Elephas maximus indicus: one gene and its partners. The protein of the gene in region 3 binds, or shares a complex with, the protein of the main gene of each other region. Links are inferred from orthologs where the notes say so. Each region holds a gene or a part of one and is shown on either strand. Other genes may lie near its edges.

Region 1 (6,639 bases), on a different chromosome or scaffold from region 3:
GGACTCTGCGGCAGCTAATAACAGTTTGGTTGCTTTCAAACACTGCTTTGTACTTAGCACTATAACTAAAAACTCTCATTTATAAGAAAAAAAATCCCGTAGTCTGGAATAAAGGCTCTTATTGTCTAGTCCTGACCAACCTTTCTGAATCTTGTGCTATTCTTCTTGTGTCTGGTGCTCCAGCCTGGCTAAACGTCACTGTCCCCACGAAGCCATCAGCAATGCTGTCCTGCCTTCCTTTCTTTCCTATGGTTTCAATGTCTGGAAGGGTTTTCTTTTTTTTTTTTTACCAGCAGCTTCCCCTTCCTCTACTCATATATCCCAAATCCTACCGATCCCTTAAAGCAGTGTTTCTCAAACCTATATACAAAATACTGAATATTGTAACTGCCCCCACATGGCTTCCCAGGCTGAAATCTTTACAGGTAGGTCTTTTCTCCCACAAAGTAGCTGGTAGGTTCCAATATCCCATTTTTTGGTTAGCAATTGAGTGCTTTAACCATTGTGCTGCCAGGGCTTCTTGAATAATGTATTAATGCAATGTAAATTCTTATGATCCTATAAAAAAATAACAAAAATACAAACTAAACCCGTTGCCATCATGTCAATTCCAGCTCATAGTGACCCATAAGACAGAGCAGAACTGCCTCATAGGGTTTCCAAGGAGTGGCTGGTGGATTATAAATCCCGGACATTTTGGATAGCAGACAAGCTCTTAACCACTGCACCACCAAGCCTCTCTTATGAGGATACAATTTGAGACAGGCAGGGAGGGATCTGCAGACTTTGAAAACACTGATAATAGAAACTACAGACCTATACTCTGAATATGTCCATCATTCTGAAAGAAAAATTGTCTTTATAACTGGCCGCGTAATTTATATATTGTCATAAAAAATGAAAACAAAAATTTGAAAGTATCATAGAACATAATTCTTATCTCTGGGTCTAGGATTCCAGTTTCAGAAATACTTCTTTATGTTGCACCTTAAACATACTGACCCTAGGAAATGTTCTTTCATCACCACAATATATATTTCTTTTCTCTGAATTACTTAGTATCTAGTCACTTTATGCCTTATGTATGTCATCTTTTTCTAGAAAACCATAAACTCTGTGAAGGCAGGGACCATATTTTATTTATTTCTTATCTTCTCCATACTAAGACCATAAGGTCACATTGAGTCAGAATAGACTCGAAGGCATCGAGTTTATACTAGGATCAAACTTGATTAACTTTTTATCTCCAGCACACCTAGTACAAGGTAGGTCCTCAGCAAATATTGGCTATAGGGCCTGTATTCCATCTTCTTCCTATTTCACAGTTCAAATCTCAAAAATATGACACCTCTTCCATGGTACATAATCACAGAGCAGCATTATTACTGAAAAAGCTCTAACATAAATGAACAGATTTCTGAAGCTGTCGTAAAGATTAGGAAAAGCCCAATTTATAAAACTTAATTTTTTTAAAAGTGCCACATAGCATCTCTTCTGTGGTTAACAATATCAACAATTTCTCTAAATGAGCAGTAAGCAAATAAGAATTTCGGAATAGAATTAAAAAATTCAGGCAATGCAAGGCTAGTAGGAAAGGCCCGATTAATAGCTACATTTTAGAAGGTCCTATGTCCCCAATCCAACTTGCATTTAAGACAGTGTCTTCAGTGTTTCAACTCGTGTCTTGGAGGACACTATCCCTCGGACATTTAGGAGAAGCTTCATTACCTCAGGTAGGATGAGAGAGACTCGCGTTAGAACTTCTTCCCTCTACGGTATTTGGGTCAAGCGTGAGAGGGCACCATATTGAAAGAGCACTAGCAGGGTTATGGGAACCCATTTTGTGTTATCCCGGCAAGCCAAAGGCAATTTTTTCACGTGTAAAATATTGGTAATGCATTACGGTCGTTGGGGTCCTTTTCAATTCTGATATGCAGATTTTGCTATTTATTCTACGGCCCAACGTAAACGCGGCTTGTGCAATGTAATTCTGGGGGTAGGCCCAGTTATTCTTCTCCCGAGTAAAAAGGGGAACTACGGAAATCGGAATCTTCTCCCAGGGTTTTTCGGGGTTGGGTTAGGAGAGAGGGTTTGTTGCCCTTCTGAGGGGTCCTCAACAAGACGGAGCCCGGCCTGCCCCGGCTCCAGCCCTCGCCCTCGGTCGCTCCCCAGGCCGAGGGAGGCTCCGCGCGAGGTTCGGGCCCTCGTCCCCACTCCCCAGCGGGAGCGGTGTGACTCGCGGAGATCAGTCCCTGGTCATAAACAACCTCTCACTTCCCCTCCCCCGCTCCGGACCCGCCCGCGCTGGGGCCGGCCCTCCCGGTCCAAGGAACCTCCTCCGGCGACCGCGGACCCGAGCCACCTCGGGGGGGCGACCGCGGGTCCGACGCTTGTGCTCATCGGGTGTCCGGGCACTTTACTCATCCTCTCCTCACTCGCCCCCCGGGGAAGGGGTTCACTACAACGACCTCGGAGGGCAGCTGAAGCCAGCCTGCATCTCCCTTTCCCCGACCCCTAACACCTCCAAGAGCCAAGGGCAGGCCGGCGCCCTGACGCGCAAGAGCGCGGCGGCCCTGCGCGCGCCGACGCGGCCCCCTCCCCCACCTCGCGGCCCTTCCGCGGTCCGTCCCCGCCCCTTCCCGGAGCCCGCCTCCGCGTCGGCCCGCCCGCCTGCTCGCCCCTCGCGCGCGTACCCGACGCCCCGCCTCCGCGCGTGCTCAATAACTGTCCCCAGAGCCGGCCTAGGAACTTCCCCCGCCCCTGAGCTGTTTAAATATGCTAATGAAAGGTTAGGGGCTAGCCAATAAAACAGCGGGGCGGTGCATCACGTGGCTCGGGGACGTGTCAGGGGGCGGAGCCTCTGCAGCCCCTGCCCGAGTTAAAACCGGAGTGTGAGAGAGAAAAGCGCTTCAGTAGCGAGAGGGGCCGAGAAAGTGGTGACACCGCTGGGGTGCAGAGGGAGTCCCTGAAACTTCTCCCAACAGCCCCAGGGCCAATCTCCCCTCAGCCCACTCCCCCCTTCGCCAGCTCCCAGGTCCCCACTCCCTGCACCGGGGGTGGGGTGGGGAGCCAGGCCCGTCTCCCGCTGGGACACACACAGGGGCCGGGAGCGGGGACGGGACCCCCGAGGTAGGGGGGACGGACCGACAAACAGACGGCCGGGAGCCCGGCCCAGCGGGCAGGCAGGCAGGAGGAGGCGGAGGCGGGGGTACGACGGGGAGGACTGGGTCTGGGGAGTTTCCTCTTAACTATCGGGGGAGAAACTCCCCGCAGCCGGAGGAAAGACCCAGACGGTGTTTTCCTCCCGGGGGCCGCGCTCCCCGCCCCGCGTAGCGGCGGTCGCCGCCACCGGCGCCGACACCTACCGTCTTCCTCCACCACCTCGGGCCCCGGTGTCCCCGGCCAGCACTATGCCCATCTTACTGTTCCTGATAGACACGTCTGCCTCTATGAACCAGCGCAGCCATCTGGGCACCACCTACCTGGACACGGCCAAAGGCGCGGTAGAGACCTTCATGAAGGTACCGACTGACCGAGCCCGGGCGGCGACCCCGGCCCGGCGGTCCGCGGGCGGCAGGGGTGGGGGAGGGCGGCTGGGGGCGGCGAGGCGGAGGTGTCGGGGACCTGACTGCGGGAGCTGCCGGCCTCGGGGACCCCCTCCCCCACCGCGCGGGCGGGCGGGCGGCGGGCGGCGGGCGGCGGGCGGGCGCTGCGAGCCGGGCTCGGCCCGGGAGCCGGCTGCGGCCCCGGACCCGGTTGCGGCCCCGGGCGGTGTGTGGGGACCGATCTGTGTGTGGGGGGCGACGTGGAGGGGTGGCCGCTGCGTGTGCGGTACTGTGGGGGGGCGGCGGGGCCGCTCGACGCCCCTTCTCCGCCCGTAACCTCGCCTCTGTGCTTCCCTCTCGCCCGCCCTGTTCCTCTCCCCGTCCCCCGTCCGCTCTCCGCAGCTCCGTGCCCGGGATCCCGCCAGCAGAGGAGACAGGTACATGCTGGTCACTTTCGAAGAGCCGCCCTATGCTATCAAGGTAACAGCCCTCGCCCTCCCCCCTTCCCTTCCCTTCCCGGTTCCTTCCTCGCTCGCCCTCCCCGCCCCCCGTCCACCCTTCATTATGCTCCCCTCCCCCACCCGCCGCTCTCCCGGCCCCGAGGCTTCTTCCCCTGAGGGCTCCCACCCCCTCCCCCGCTCTGGATCGTCCCGGCGCGGCGCGGAGTCGCCAGGCCATCGCCGTCCCCTCCCGGGCCCGGCCCGCGGCGGCGGCGGCGGCGGCGGCGCTGCGATCAACATGGCCGACATTTCCCCTCCGCGGCGTGAGCGGCAGCAATGAACTGTGGGGGATATTTATTCAAGTTAGCCGGAGTGACAGCCGGGCCGGCGGCGCAGCCCCGTCCGCATGAAAGGGGGCTCGGCCCGGGGCTCGGCCGCGCCGGCTCGCCCGGGGCTCGGGCTGGGGCGTGGGGGAGCGGGGGTCTGCGGCGCTGGGGCTCTGGATGGCTCCTGAGAGGGCCACAGGCTAGTGGGACAGCTGTAGGCTGACTTCAGAAGTCCAGTTTCCTCTGCTCTGCGCTGCTGCCTTCACATCCTGAAATTTGGGGTGTGAGAGAGTCAGCTCCCCAGTAAAGTTGTGAAGTGTGGCAGCTGGTAATGACCAGAAGCTATAGAGCAAGAAGGTTTATTCTGGCGAGCTTTGGAGGGGAGTTTCCTCAGCAGTGACACACAACAAACAAGTTAACCATGTTGTACTGTAAAGTGAAGCAGCTACTTGGCGAGCATCAGATTATAACGGCTGCCCGTGTGTGCATGGCTTTGAAAGATGAAAAAAAAAATTCTTACATTTTTCTTTTCAGGCTGGATGGAAAGAAAACCATGCAACGTTTATGAATGAACTGAAAAACCTTCAGGCTGAAGGACTTACGACTCTTGGCCAATCCCTAAGGACAGCTTTTGATTTATTAAATTTAAATAGATTAGTAACTGGCATAGACAACTATGGGCAGGTAGGTTGAATATTAAGGTGGAAAAATAGCTGATTTTTCTTTTTGTGGAAAAACACATTCCAGTCCTAAACCTATATGTAAAATATAAGTATGAAACATTTCAGATTAAAAGAAAATATATGCACGTAACACAAATGTGAAACCCTCAACATACTCAGTATAGTTTTGTATCCCTCATATTTTTGCTTAAAACGCACTTGAATTCAGAATTAGAGCCAGAATCCTTTGCTAAAAATTGAGTTGTCGTGAATGTGGTTTTAATCCCTTGAAATTCATTTGGTACATTAAAGTGGAAACCTCCTGCCTCACCATACTCAGTAACGAACCGCTGCAGGCGAATGTGCAGCCACTGCAGTGGCCTACAGACACCAGCTGGTCAGTGGTCCCCATTTCTGTATCAGTCAGGACAAATATTAGGAAACTGTTCTCTGTGTTGCATCAGGGTGTAATTTAACCATATTGTTTAACTATTCTGAAAGCTCAGATTTTCATTGGGGTGCAATACCTGGTTGAGTACATTAAGATTTCTCAGTTTTTCAAGCATACACAATTAGCAACTATTGAAGGAGATTTTTTTTTTTTTATTATAAACCCTTGGAAAAGAGGCTGTCTGGAAAATAATGAAAGAACCCACTCTTAACCCCTAAAGCCCTCTATTGCACCTGCAGCTCGTCTGTTTAAGGATGAGACAAGACTTCCATGCAGCTTTAAATCACATGGTGGTTCACTGTGGAATAATGCAAGGTGGTCCATTATAACTTTTTAACGAGATCACTGGCCTGGAAAATAAAAGATACTGAAGAATATGTAATGTGACACATAACAAAGGGCTGTTAAACCCAGTGAGTTTCCTGTGTCGTAGTGAAGAGCACTGTCACCACCATGGTATACTTAGATGTACATTTTTTCTTTTCCCAGTTCCACAGCCACAATTGTCATGAGTTTCTACTTTTACCGAATTGCACGTCCATTGTTTAATTAGGTAAATGTGTATTTTCTTACATTACTTTCCCCCCCTTTCTGTGCTGCTTCATGTTGCAACTTTCAGTAATTTAGGTAGATTTGCCATGAACTCTTCAATTTATTTCTGTAAAATAATCATAGATTTCTTTCCCTTTCATATCCAGTTGTTATATGTGGTGATACACAATCTTAATGCTTAAGGTTTTTATCCAACCTTCTTTGACTTCAAAGAAAAACTCAAAACTTGCCATTGCTTGATTATTTGTCAGGTTGTCAGTGGGTAGCACAGAAGGAGCCCTGGTGGTATAACCATTAAGCGCTCGGCTGCAAACCAAAAGGTTGGTGGTTCAAACCATCCTGGCCGTCTGCTCCCGTAAAGATTACAGTATAGAAAACTGTATGGGGTAGTTCAACTCTGTCACATGGGGTTGCTGTGAGTCGAAAATCGACTTGATGGCACCTAACAACAGTGTATTGCACAACTGTTAATTTCCTGTCTTTCTGCCTACACATTCACTTCCTACGACCTATTAAAAATATTTAGGGTCCTTCCTCAGGAAAACTCATTGTCATGGTGAGGCTGAGAACATTTTTAACTTAAGCCTGTATTTTCCTTTCCCCAATTGCCATTTTCTACAAGAGAACACATTAGTTCTTGTCTAAAGCTTATGTAATAAAACC
Region 2 (6,639 bases), on a different chromosome or scaffold from region 3:
AGTACCGAAAAGAGAAATAGACACCTTCACAATAACATTAGAAAACTTTAACACAATACTCTTTGCAAAGGACAAAACAAAGAAAAAGAAATTCAGCAAAGACATAGAAGATCTAAATACCACTATCAACCAACTTGACCTCATAGACGTATACAGAACACTTCACCCAACAGCGGCAAAGTACACATTCTTCTCCAATGCTCATCGATCATTCTCCAGAACAACACATTTTAGGCCACAAAGCAAGCCTCAACAAATTCAAAAACATCAAAATAATACAAAGCATCTTCTCTGATCACAATGCTCTCAAAGTAGAAATCAGTAATAGGAATAGCAAGGAAAAAAAAACTAATACATGGAAACTAAGTAATACCCTGCTTAAAAACTACTGAGTAATAGAAGAAATCAAATATGGAATTAAAAAAATTTCTAGAGTCAAATGAGAATGAAAAAACAACATACCAAAACCTTTGGGACACAGCAAAAGCAGTTCTCAGAGGGCGGCTGATAATAACACACACATCCAAAAAGAATAGGCAAAAATCAAAACATTAACCCTACAACTCCAACAATTAGGAAGAGAGCAGCAAAAGAAGCCCACAGTCACCAGAAGAAACGAAATAATAAAAATTAGAACAGAAATAAACAAAACAGAACACAAAAACAACAGAAAGAATCAATGTAACTAAAAGCTGATTCTTTGAAAAAGATTGATAAAATCAACAAACCACTGGCCAAACTGACAAAGAAAAACAGGAGAAGACACAAATAACATGAATAAGAAATTAGATGGGTGACATTACAACAGAACCAACTGATATAAAAAGGATCATAACAGAACCCTATGAAAAACTGTAATTTGAAAACCTAAAGAAATGGACAAATACCTAGAAATACACTACCTGCATAAACTAACACAAAATGGCGTCAACAATTTGAACAGACCTGTAACAAAAGAAGAAATTGAAGGGGTCGTGAAAAAACTCTCAACCAAAAAAAGCCCCAGCCCAACAGCTTTACTGGAGAATTCTACCAAACATTCAGAGAAGAGCTGACACCAGTTCTACACAAACTATTCCAGAACACAAAAATGGAAGGAATATTCTAGAATTCATTCTATGAAGCCAGCCCTGATACCAAATGCTGGTTAAAAAAAAAAAAAAAATTCATCACTAAAAAAGTGAACTACAGACCAATATCCCTCATGAATACAGAAGCAAAACTTCTCAATGAAATTCTAGCCAATAGAATTCAAAAGCATATGTAAGGAAAAAAAAAAATACATCACGACCAAGTGAGATTCACACCAGGCATGCAAGGATGGTTCAACATTAGAAAATCAATCACCTTAATTCACCACATAAACAAAACAAAGGAAAAAAAAATCACATGATCATCTCAATTGACACATAAAAGGCATTTGATAAAATCCAACAGCCATTCCTGATAAAAACTCTCAATAAAATAGAAATAGAAGGGAAATTCCTCAACATAATAAAGGGAATTTATACAAAATCAACAACCCACATTATTCTCAACAGGGAGAATCTGAAAGCATTCCCCTTGAGAATGGGAACCAGTAAAGGGTATCCTTTATCACCACTCTTATTCAACACTGTATTGGAAGTCCTAGCAATAAAGTGAGAAAACGAAATAAACCTCCAAATCAGTAAGGGATAAGTAAAACTATCCCTATTGGCAGATAATATGATCCTATACAGGAAACCCTGGTAGCATAAGTGGTTAAGAGCTACGGCTGCTAACCAAAAGGTGGGCAGTTCGAATCCACCAGGCACTCCATGGAAACGATATGGGGCAGTTCTACTTTGTCCGATAGGGTCGCTATGAGTCGGAATTGACTCGACTGCAACAGGTTTGATTTTTGGTTTTATGATCCTATACATAGAAAATCCTAAAGATTTCACAAGAAAGCTACTGGAACTAATAGAAAGATTCAGCAAAGTGGTAGGATAAAAGACCAACATACAAAAATCAGTTAGATTCCTCTACATCAACAAAGAGAACTTTGAAAACGAAATCAGGAAAACAATACCATTTATAATAACCCCCGCCAAAAGATAAAATACTTACGAATAAATCTAACCAGGGACATAAAGACATCTACAAAGAAAACTACAAAACACTACTGCAAGAAAACAAAAGAGACCTACATAAATGGAAAAATACACCATGCCTCTTGGATAGGAAGAGTAAACGTTGTGAAAATGTCAATGCTACACAAAGCGATATACAGATATAATGCAATCCTGATCCAATTCCCAACAGCATTCTTCAGTGAGATGGAAAAACTAATCACTAGCTTTATACAGAATGGAAAGAGACCCTGAATAATAAAGCTTTTCAAAAGAAGAACAAAGTGGGAGATCTCACATTACCTAATTTCAGAACCTACTATACAGCTATGGTAGTTGAAACAGCCTGGTGCTGGGACAACAACATAGACCAATGGAACAGAATTGAGAACGGAGAAGTAAATTCATCCACCTATAGACAGCTCATCTTCGACAAAAGACCAAAGGTTATTGAATGGGAAACAGACGGTCTCTTCAACAAATGGTACTGGCAAAACTGGATATGTATCTGTAGAAAAATGAAACAGGATCCATACCTCACACCATACAGTGAGTAAAATAAGTCAATCGTAAAAAGACAAATATTGTTTGATACTGATTTTATAAAGAAGAAAAGGCTTACACACAGAAAAAAGGAAAGGAAAAGGAAGGAAGGAAGGATGAAAGGGAGGAGGGGAGGGAAGGAGGGAAGGAGGGAGGAAGGAAGGAAGGTAGGTTCTTTTATGGTTACCAGGGATGGTAGAGGGAGGGAGGAAAAATTACCAAAGAGGTAGTAGATGGAAAGATATAGTAGGAACGACTTAACACTGGTGAAGGGAAAAGCAATATATAATATGGGAAAACTCAGCAGAACGTGACCAAAGCAAAAGGGGACACTGAGATGAGCGTGCGAATAAAGGGCAACTACCATAACTACTATAGTATAGACAGTCCTGCAACAATAGTATTAACAATAATTTACATAAACAGCTTTAAATGGAGACAGTTTTGGAGTTGAATCTACTTTTAATACCTTCTCTGACTTCCACCCTGCAAACAGTTGCCACTTTGCAGAGCGTATGCCTGTAGCATGATTATCAAATGGGTGCTATGTACTTTCGAAAAGCATACTCAAATAGTTATATAAAAGGAAAAACAAACCATTTGTTTTTGTATAGAAATTACAGAAAGTAAAGCTTGACAAAGGAGCCCTGACGGCACAGTGGTTAAGTGCTCCGTTGCTAACAGAAAGAATCAGCAGTTTGAACCCACCAGCTGCTCTGCGGGAAAAAGATGTGGCAGTTTGCTTCCATAAAGATTACAGCCTTGGAAACCCTATGAGGCAGTTCTACTCTGTCCTATAGAGTTGCTATGAGTCAGAATCGACTTGATGGCAATGGATGAAGCTTGACAACTTGGTTGCAGGATTTTAAGATTGAGAAGCAGTGTTTCACAGCTACCTTCCTATTCTAATTGTGCTATTACTAATTCAATAGGGTTGGAATTAACTCACAATAAAAGTAAAGAGTGAAAATAAAGATCTGAGAAGCTACTGGAGCTCTGTGATTCAAGGATTTCTCTAGGTATACTAGCATTTTCCACCTAACCTTTGTTCATGCAATCTCTACAGCCCTAGACCGGAATGTCTTGACACTTCCTCTCTGCCCATCCAAATCCTATACAGGGTTTAAAACTCAAATCCTGCAAGATCACACGCTGATTTCCTTCTCTGAATTCAAAGGGCAATTATAATTAAACTATAACAGGAAACTTAATAAGTGATTACGTTCTGCCTAGTATCTTCTACTCGCTTCAGCAGGGAGAAGAGCTAAACATGTATCAACCAGTGTGCCTATTATAATACTCACGTGGAAGCTCAGAAGTCATAGGTGACTATGCTCCAATCCTAGCTCACAGGTGAAGAAATGAGACAGTCAACCTCTTATCTGACCTGACAATGAGTGAAAAAGTTCTCCGTGCTGTTTTAAGGGGCATGGTGGAGTGGATAAGGGTGAGGATTCCGACCTACTCGACTACAAAAAGCAGATTTCCCTAGTCTACCCCATATTCCTGTTCCGAAAAAGCCATCCCTCCTCCGCGACGGTTCCTTTCGCAAGGTGGAAACCACGAAGTCCAAAAGGATATGGTATCACCTTTGCCCTCTGACCTAGGAGTGGAAACTCACCAGTTTCATATTGGACTTCAGGCTGTTCAACAGCAATCACTCGACTCCTCAGACCCAGAATGCGTCTTCCGGTTCAATCTCCGCCACCAACCTGCACAGAGCATTACGGGACAGGCCGTCTCCCACCATCCCACGCCCCAGGAATCATGGGAAATGTAGTCATCCCTAGATGCATCATGGGAACTGTGGTCATATTTTCTTTTTTTCCCTGAACTCCTTCTTCCGTCATCCTCGCCGTCTCTTCATCCTCCCTCTTCACCCCATCATGATATCTTGTCCCCCATATGGGCCTGGGACACATAGTTTTCTGGGAGGTGTAGTCCCGGTGGGTCTGGATTCCCCTTTCTCCTCCTCCCTGTGGGCCGGCTAATGGATGCGGGACTTGCCGGGAGCTGTAGTTCTCCGAGGTGTCTAGATGCGGAGTCCCAAGCTTTTACTCAAGGGAGGCAGGAACTACAACTCCCAGGGCTGCCCGGCGGCAGCAGGTGGGAGCGGGGCTGTTGATATCAATATGGCGGTTGTCAGCCAGACAAAGACAGTCAGTCTGATGTGATTGAGGCAAGGGAGGTTTTCACGGGGAGACTGGGAGATACCGGCCTCCCCTCCTCCCTTTCCTCTTCCTGTGCGGGCCTCAAACCCTCCCCAGCCCCCACCCGCCGGGCTCCCCACGCGGAAGACACCCCTCCCCCTCCCGCTTTCTCCTTCCTATCTCAGCTTTTCGTACTGGGACGTTGGGGAGGGGGCTGTGCCGGGCGGAGAGAACTCAGCGAGGATTCTGAGGTGAGTCGAGCAGTTTGAAACCGGACTACTTCAAGTCTCTTCCCTCACTTGTTTCTCTTTACTTTTAAAATTTTCCCCCAGAGGCTTTGGGGAGAAAGTGAGTGGGATGGGGAAGGGTCTCTTAAGCGGCCGGTTTGAGAGGAGGGAGAAAGCAGGGGCTTCCGAGTAATTGACCTGGACGCAGGATATGGGGTGGGGCAGTTTATAGGGTGCATTAATTGAAAGGCGTCGGCTTCTCCCCAACTCTTTTTTCCTTGTTACCGCCACGGTGGGCGGAAGGTTTGAATCCGGGAGTTGGGGGGGGGGTCTTCTGTTTGGAGTTTGGGAAACTGACGTGATTTTGAGGTGTGTTGGTTTGTATTACTGTGGTTTAAACTGTGTTACGGGTACTTGTGTGATATATTTGTATTGCATAAATGTCTAAAGATAAGAAGTTAGATAGCTAGAAACATAGCTTTTAACGGGGCCTGGGCTGAGTAGCGTGTGTGAGGTCCTGCTCCTGGACGTTTGGCTGACGACGTGGTGCTGGGTAGCTGGGGTTAGCAACTCGTTTGTGTAGGATTGCCCGCTCACACTCCTCTTCCCCGTCTCCGCCCCCTCCTCTGGACGCATCTCCACCCCAAACTCCCGGCAGGAGAATTGTAGAGATGATGTGGTTTGGAGATGGATTTTTGCATACTTAAGTCAGTAGCTAGGTGGGAAAGGAAAAGTGTTCTTAATATTTTATTCCGGAACCGTGTTTTGGTTACACTCTTGGGGCTACTTTGAAAGGAGTCCTCCACCCACCCTCACCCCGAAACAGTAGGTAGAGGTGTCTCGCCGCCTTCGTGTTAAATATATTAATAATTAAGATTTTGGGGCGTGGGGTGGGCATACGGAGTGCTGAATTGTGTATGTGTCTGTGCGTGTCTACTGAAGATACAGAATGATTGTTGTGTATCTTGAGATAGGGCGACTTATTTTCGTGGCAGGAAAAGCTATTGGAAATTATTTGGGGGGCAGCTGAAAGGCGCTGCTTGTATTTTTCTTCTACCCCACCCTATTCTGCCTCGCATTTGCCTGAAAGCTGGTGTGGAAGAGTGAGTGAAGGAAAGAATGCAGTTGGCCTTGAAGATACCGTACTATGTGAAGTTGAATGATATGAAGTAATTGCTGTTTTTATTTACCTTAAAATAGCTTTAAAACCCTCATGTATCACATAGGGTAGAGTGATGTGACCAGTTTATTTCCATGGAATCCTGCAGGTGTAGAAACTCCTTCCTTTCTTCCCTGGCATTTGGATGGACATAATGCCTCCTGAGCCTTTTTATTTAGTTTGTGCCAATATGGTTGTGCTTTTTTGTTGTTTATACTGTAAGAGGCATCACTAGATGAAAAGATTTTGCATTTGTTTTTATTTTGCATTTATGCCACAGGTAATTGCCACGTAAGGATTGCAGTGCTTTGCGTTAAACTTATTTTTAAATTGAGCAACTAAGTTGTTAGATGTAGTTGAATTATGTTTATAAATCAAGTTTGGAAATTTTGAATTCTGAAAAATTTGAATTCTGATTTTTTGTTAGTTTCGTTTAGAGCTGTGAAGGGAAGAGGATTGCAACATCT
Region 3 (6,639 bases):
CCTCATCTCGACATCCATGTGTACACACTCATGCCCTCACCCGGACATCCCTGCATGCACACTCACCCTCATCCCAGCATCCCATGAGCACCCCCCTTGCTGGGCCTGGGAGGAAGGTGGGCACAGCCCTCCCCCTCACACTAGAAAAGCTCACCCTCTCCCAGCCTCACAGCCCCTCACCGGCACTGAGGTCTCCCCCGCCGCGCCCCGCCTCCCCCTGCAGCAGCACGCTCTTAGGAGGCATCTTGGTGTTGAAGGCTGTCTGGATGTTGTCCACAAAGGCCTTACAGTGTGGGCTGTCCACCCAGATGCGCTCACCCAGGGAGTCCTCGATATACACCTGTAGGGACAGAGCCCCGGCCAGCTGAGTCCACACCTGCAGACATATTCTCTGCCCCCGGCACTCCAGGTTGCTGGGCCCAGCCCCACCTCTGCCTCAGCAGGGATCAAGCTGAGTTGTTTCTCGTGTGCCCAGCAGTGTGACCACCTGGGAGGATCAGTGCTGGAGCTGCCAGAAATAGCTCTCTGGAGGGAGCAGGCAGTGGAGGACAGGCCTTGGGCTCCTTCTCCCAGTGCTCCAATAGCAGCCTCCGCATTCTGCTCTCAGGCCCGTGTGCTCCTTCTCCTCCCTGCGCTCCATCAGGCCACCACCCCCTACCCGGTACTCTGTTCTGGTCACCACCAGAGCAGGAACCTGGCCAGAAGGCAGACCCACCTTGACAAAGATTTCAGGCCAGTTCTCATCCTCTTCGTAGGCAGCCATGAGGAGATTACAGGCCAGCACAGAGACCAAGCTGTTCCCCTTGGCTTTGAAGTTGATGGAGGCATCGCGACGCAGGAGGCTACACAGCGCCTGGGCAAGGCGGGCTTGGGTTACCCAGGGGAGCAGAGGCTCCCGTCTCCCCCTGCGCCAGAGGCCAGTGGGTATGATTCCAGAGGGGCCACTGGAGGAAAGTGGAGAAGGGGGCATGGCCACAGGGTCCAGCCCCCTCCCAGGACAGGGGGCCACTCTTACCTCAATGACGCCCTCTGTGGCAAAGATGTTGGGCTTGATCTTGGCCAGGTACATGAGGCTGAGGTAGAGCGTGCTGTCAGGCTTGGCCCGCGTGAGCCGCAGCTGCCTGGCCGCCCCACACAGCACACCCTCGATGCGCTCGTCATTGCCCTCCAGCTCAGCAGCCTCAATCTCCTCCAACAGCACTGTGGGCAGGACTGGCAGTGGCCAGAGCTCCGGTCAGAGGACAGACAGCCACGGAGATGCCCACCAGCCCCCCTGCCTCAAGCTCCTCCAACAGCACTGTGGGCAGGACTGGCAGTGGCCAGAGCTCCGGTCAGAGGAGAGACAGCCACAGAGATGCCCACCAGCCCCCCTGCCTCAAGCTCCTCCAACAGCACTGTGGGCAGGACTGGCAGTGGCCAGAGCTCCGGTCAGAGGAGAGACAGCCACGGAGATGCCCACCAGCCCCCCTGCCTCAAGCTCCTCCAACAGCACTGTGGGCAGGACTGGCAGTGGCCAGAGCTCCGGTCAGAGGAGAGACAGCCATGGAGATGCCCACCAGACCCCAAAGCCTCGGGAACCCGGGGCAGGTCATCAGCAAGAAGGAATGTCAGGTGCACTCGGCCACTGATGAGCACGTCGCCTCCCCAGGCAGCTCTACGCGCACAGGGAGACAACCACAGCACAGCCCTAAAAGGGCATGGGCAAATGCGACTTCTATTTCATCCAAGGAGTCCTTGGGTGGTGCAAGTGGTCAACATGCTCAGCTGATAAACAAGAGGTTAGAGGTTCAAGTCCACCCAGAGGCACCTCAGAAGAAAGACCTGGTGATCTACTTCCGAAAGGCTGTGGCCTTGAAAACCCTGTGCAGCACAGTTTGTACCCTGATACACGTGTGCTCATCATGAGCCAGAGTTGGCTTAACGGCAACTGGTTTTCCCAAAGCAAAAAGGACCCCATACAGTGCTAAGCCTAGAAGTGGCTGCCACTGAACCCCTGCTGGTGACCTGGTATACCTACTTTCCCTAGAGAAGTCCAGGGACTGATTTTACCTTCAATCGGGACCACAGATGGTTCCTTAATCGATGGAGAAATAGCTCGTTTTTCTGCCACCGCGGCCTCAGCCAGGCGCCCTAGAGCACTCAGTGGGGGTGTGGACGAGAGTTTGGGGCGTTTGGTGAGGCCAGTCAGTGCCGAGGCACCAGATAACGCGGCCGCAGCATCCCGCTTGCGCTCTGAAGGCAGGCCGGAAGGGGCTGGCTTCAGCAGGGTGGATGCTGTTTTCGATTCATTGGCCTGTCCCTTTGAGCCCAGGGCAATGAAATCTCCTGGTGGAGGGTGTCCTGCAGAGAAAACAGGTTGCATGCTTACATAATGCCCGAGGTAGAAAAGACTCTCAGAGACTGGACTCAGCTTCCTGTTATTTCAGAGGCGAGTAGACAAGAGTCCAAAAAGGCAACCAACAAGCTGAGGTTAACAGCAGGGCTGGATCTGGTACAGTGCTGACTCAGTTACACAGTGCTCACTACACAGCATGCCACCTCTAAGTCGTTTAGAAGCATTAGTTCATTTAATTCTCAACACGTTTCTGAAATAGGTAATAAATCGACTGACAGCAACTAACGATAACAAAGACTCTCATTTAAAGAGTCCCTGGATGGTACAGATGGTTAAGTGCTCGACTACTAGCCAAAAGCTTGGCAGTCTGAACCCACCTAGAGGTACCGTGGAAAAAAAGCCTGGCGATCTGCTTCCGAAAGGTCACAGCTTTGGAAACCCTATTGAGTGCAGTTCTATTCCATATACGTGAGGTTGTCATAATTGAAATGACTTGATGGCAACTAACCCACTCTCCTTTTACAGATGAGGAAAACAAGACACACAGAGGTGAAGTAAAATGCCCAGTGTGGCACAACAGGGGAGAGGCAAAGATGGGATGTGAATCTAGGGAGTCAGCTCCAGAGTCTACATCTAACGACCACCTGAGGCTGCCACCTGCCTCCAGGCACAGCATGAAACAAGAAACCTAGTCCCTGTAGGAAGTCACAGCTGTTCTAAGTCTAGGGCTCCCAGCACCCCTGAGGACTGACAGCTATTTTTGTTTCCATATTTCTTTATTGTTGTTGAGAACACAGACAACAAAACATACACCAATTCAAGTTTCTACACGTACGATTCAGTGACATTGGTTTCATTCTTCAAACTGTGCAACCATTCTCACCCTTTCCTGAGTTGTTCCTCCCCCACAAACATAAGCTCACTGTCCCCTAAACTTCCCGTCTAATCTCTCAAGCTGCTGTTGTCAATTTGATCCCATACAGTTCTTTTTTTTTCAATAACTTATTTTATTTTTGGTGTTTTTGAAAACATACACAGTTGAACACATACCAAGTCAACAGTTCCTACATATACAACTCAGTAATACTGATTGCATTCTTCCAGTTTATGCGCACCAACCTCAGCGTCCTTTTCTGAGTTGTTCCGCCCCCAGTAACATAAACACCCAAACCCACTGCCGTCGAGTCGATTCCGACTCATACACACTGCCCCTTAAATTTCTACCCAACCTCTCACGTTGCTGTTGTCAACCCGATCTGAGAGCTACTCTTCTAGACCCCCTTCTGGAAGCAGCCTCCGCTGCAGAATAGCGAAGCTCCAACTCGGGCTACTTGGCAAAGCCGAGAAGCCCCCACCGACCCCGCAGCCCCGGGGCAGGAAGAAACCACTCGCCTGAAGGCTTAGCCGCAGCGCTGGGCCTCCGGACCGTGGCGGTCTTGGCCCGGTTCATTCTGTCCCCGTCCTCTCACGGCTCCTACCCGCTCGTGTGTCACCTGCGGAGAGAGCCAACAGGCGGTCATTCATTCATTTTCGTGCTCATTCATTCATTCTCCTACCGCACAGGGCGTGGAGAGCAGAGGACAATTGGGCGCGGGCCCCGCCAGCAGAAAATTTCTCAGGGGGCTGCCTGAGCTGTGTGCATGGAGCCTCCGGAGAAGGGGCTCCCGCAGGCCCGGGACCGAGGCCGACAGGGTGCAGCGGCGGAGGCCTGCAGAGAACAGGCCTGGCGGAGGGTGGGAAGCCGGCCGGGAGGGGCGCGCTCCACGCGGCAGGAGGGAACAACCCAACACTCACCTCCAGTCCATCGCCACCCGGAGCCCCGGCCGCCCCGGAGCTGGAAACAAAACTCCCCGCTTTCGGAGCTTGAAGTTCCGGAGGAACCGGAAACAAAACAGCGCGGCGGGAGAAGGGTGGAAGAGGATAGAGGGGACACGCAGGGCCTGCGCAGTGTCTGCAGCGCCCTCTGATGGCGGGGAGGACGATTGGGCACTGCAGCCTCTGCGTGCTTTCAGGAATTGGATGGGCCGCGCTGTACGTGTACATGAAAAAAAAAAAAAAAATTGCAGTGGATTCCATTCCGACTCACAGCAGCCCTATGGGACAGAGTAGAACTTCCCCACAGAGTTTCCAAAGAGCAACTAGTAGATTCGATCTGCTGACCTTTTGGTTAGCAGCCAATCTCTTAACCCACGAGGGCTCCAACCCACAAAACCAAACCCGTTGCCATGGAGTCAGTCATTCTGACTCTGAGACCCCATAGGACAGAATAGAACTGTCCGATATGATTTCCAAGGCTGTACTCTTTTTTTTTTTCTTAATCTTTACGGCAGCTGACTGCCACATCTTTCTCCCACGGAGTGGCTGGTGAGTTCGAACAGCCTACCTTTTCGTTAACAGTGAGCGCTTAACTACTGCACACCACGGCTTCAATGTATGATACCTTTAAATTTCTCAGCCAAATTACATATAATTATCATTATATATATTGGTATAAAGGAGCCCTGGTTGCTCAGTGGTTAAGCCCTTGGCTGCTAACCAAAAGGTAGGCTGTTGGAACCCACCAGTCCTCCTGTGGGAGGAAGATGTGGCAGTCAGCTTCCGTAAAGACTACCCCCTGGAAACCATACAGGGCAGTTCTACTCCGTCTTATAGAGTCTCTGTGGGTCACTAGGAGTCGGAATCCATTCAACGCAGTGGGTTTGGTTTTTGGTTTATAATGGTTTTATAGGGAGCCCTGGTGTTGCAACAGTTAAATGCTAGGCTGCTAACCGAAAGGTGAGCGGTTTGAACCCACTAGCCACTTCATGGAAGAGACAGATCTCTCTCTGGCATCTGTGTCTGTAAAGATTACAGCCTAGAAAACCCTACGTGCAGTTCTGCTCTGTCACATGGGGTCTGCATGAGTCAAAGCTGACTTTCTTGACTGTAATTTTTATGAAAGCAGACTGCCAGACCTTTCTTCTATGGTGCCATTGGGTGGGTTTGAACCACCAACATTTAGGTTAGCAGCTGATCAAAAACTGCTTGCACCATCCAGGTTCCCTATAGTGATGTACTATGGATATATATACGTACGGGAACCCTGGTGGCATACTGGTTAAGAGCTACAGCTGCTAACTAAAAGGTTGGCAGTTCAAATCCACCAGGCACTCCTTGGAAACCCTATGGGGCAGTTCAACTCTGTCCTTTAGGGTCGCTATGCATTGGAATCAACTTGACGGCAATGGGTTTGGTTTCTTTTAATGTACATATATACACATACACACACATGATATACGTCATCTGCACGTGTGTCATTGGATTAAAATTCATCAACTAAGTTATGTTTGTTACTGCTCTTGTTGTTTGCTGCTCTAGACTTCGACTCATGGCGACCCCACATATAATAGAATGAAATGTTGCCTGGTCCTGTGCCATCTTCACGATTGTTGGTATTCTCGAGTCCATTGTTGTGGCCACTGTATATTTTGAGTGCCTTAAAAAAAAAAAATTTTTTTTTTTCCAACCTAGGTAGCATGGTGGTTAAGTGCTTGGCTGCTAACCAAAAGGTCAGCAGTTCGAATTCACCAGCTGATCCTTGGAAACCCTATGGGGCAGTTCTACTCTGTCCTTAAAAGGTCACTATGTGTTGGAATCGACTCGATGGCAACGGGTTTGGTTTTGGTTTGGTCCAACCTGGGGGGCTCATCTTCCAGCACTATATCGGACAATATTCTTTTATTTCTTTTTTTATTGTATTTTAGATGAAGGTTTACAGAGCAAATCAGTTTCTCATTAAACAATTTAAATACGTATTGTTCTGTGACGTTGGTTGCCACCCCCACAACATGTCAACACCTTCCCCTTCTCAACCTCGCGTCTCCATTACCATCTTTTCTATCCCCTCCTGCCTTCTCATCCTTGCCCCTGGGCTGGTGTGCCTATTTAGTCTTGTTTTGTTTTATGGGCCTGTCTAATCTGTGGCTGAAGGATGAACTTCAGGAGTGACTTCACTACTGAGTTAAAAGGGAGTCCAGGGGGCCATACTCTCAGAGTTTCTCCAGTCTCTGTCAGACTAGTAAGTCTGGTCTTTTGTGTGTGTGTGAGTTAGAATTTTGTTCTACGTTTCTCTCCAGCTCTGTTTGGGACCCTCTACTGTGATCCCTGTCAGAGCAGCCAGTGGCAGTGGGCAGGCACCGTCTAGTTGTGCTGGACTCAGTCTAGTGGAGGCTGTGGTACTTGTGATATTTTGGATAATATCCTGTTGTGATTTGTAGGGTTTTCATTGGTTGATTTTTGGAAGTAGATTGCAAGACCTTTCTTCC

Evidence for each region.
Region 1: INTS1 (region 3) and INTS6 share a complex: the UniProt entries of both Homo sapiens proteins name them as parts of the integrator complex. The link is inferred for Elephas maximus indicus from reciprocal best matches to the Homo sapiens genes INTS1 and INTS6.
Region 2: INTS1 (region 3) and INTS9 share a complex: the UniProt entries of both Homo sapiens proteins name them as parts of the integrator complex. The link is inferred for Elephas maximus indicus from reciprocal best matches to the Homo sapiens genes INTS1 and INTS9.

What each region holds. Positions count from the first base shown.
Region 1 is NC_064832.1:26,248,212-26,254,850, forward strand, and holds the start of INTS6 (integrator complex subunit 6), read left to right. Parts: upstream 1-2,896; 5' UTR 2,897-3,410; coding exon 3,411-3,521; exon of another isoform or gene 3,522-3,656; intron 3,657-3,701; exon of another isoform or gene 3,702-3,771; intron 3,772-3,947; coding exon 3,948-4,025; intron 4,026-4,845; coding exon 4,846-4,995; intron 4,996-6,639. UniProt on the Homo sapiens protein: Component of the integrator complex, a multiprotein complex that terminates RNA polymerase II (Pol II) transcription in the promoter-proximal region of genes.
Region 2 is NC_064840.1:43,560,737-43,567,375, reverse strand, and holds the start of INTS9 (integrator complex subunit 9), read right to left. Parts: upstream 4,411-6,639; 5' UTR 4,267-4,410; coding exon 4,258-4,266; intron 1-4,257. UniProt on the Homo sapiens protein: Component of the integrator complex, a multiprotein complex that terminates RNA polymerase II (Pol II) transcription in the promoter-proximal region of genes.
Region 3 is NC_064830.1:95,830,867-95,837,505, forward strand, and holds the start of INTS1 (integrator complex subunit 1), read right to left. Parts: upstream 4,211-6,639; 5' UTR 4,130-4,210; intron 3,829-4,129; 5' UTR 3,786-3,828; coding exon 3,728-3,785; intron 2,341-3,727; coding exon 2,050-2,340; intron 1,213-2,049; coding exon 1,016-1,212; intron 854-1,015; coding exon 716-853; intron 341-715; coding exon 181-340; intron 1-180. UniProt on the Homo sapiens protein: Component of the integrator complex, a multiprotein complex that terminates RNA polymerase II (Pol II) transcription in the promoter-proximal region of genes.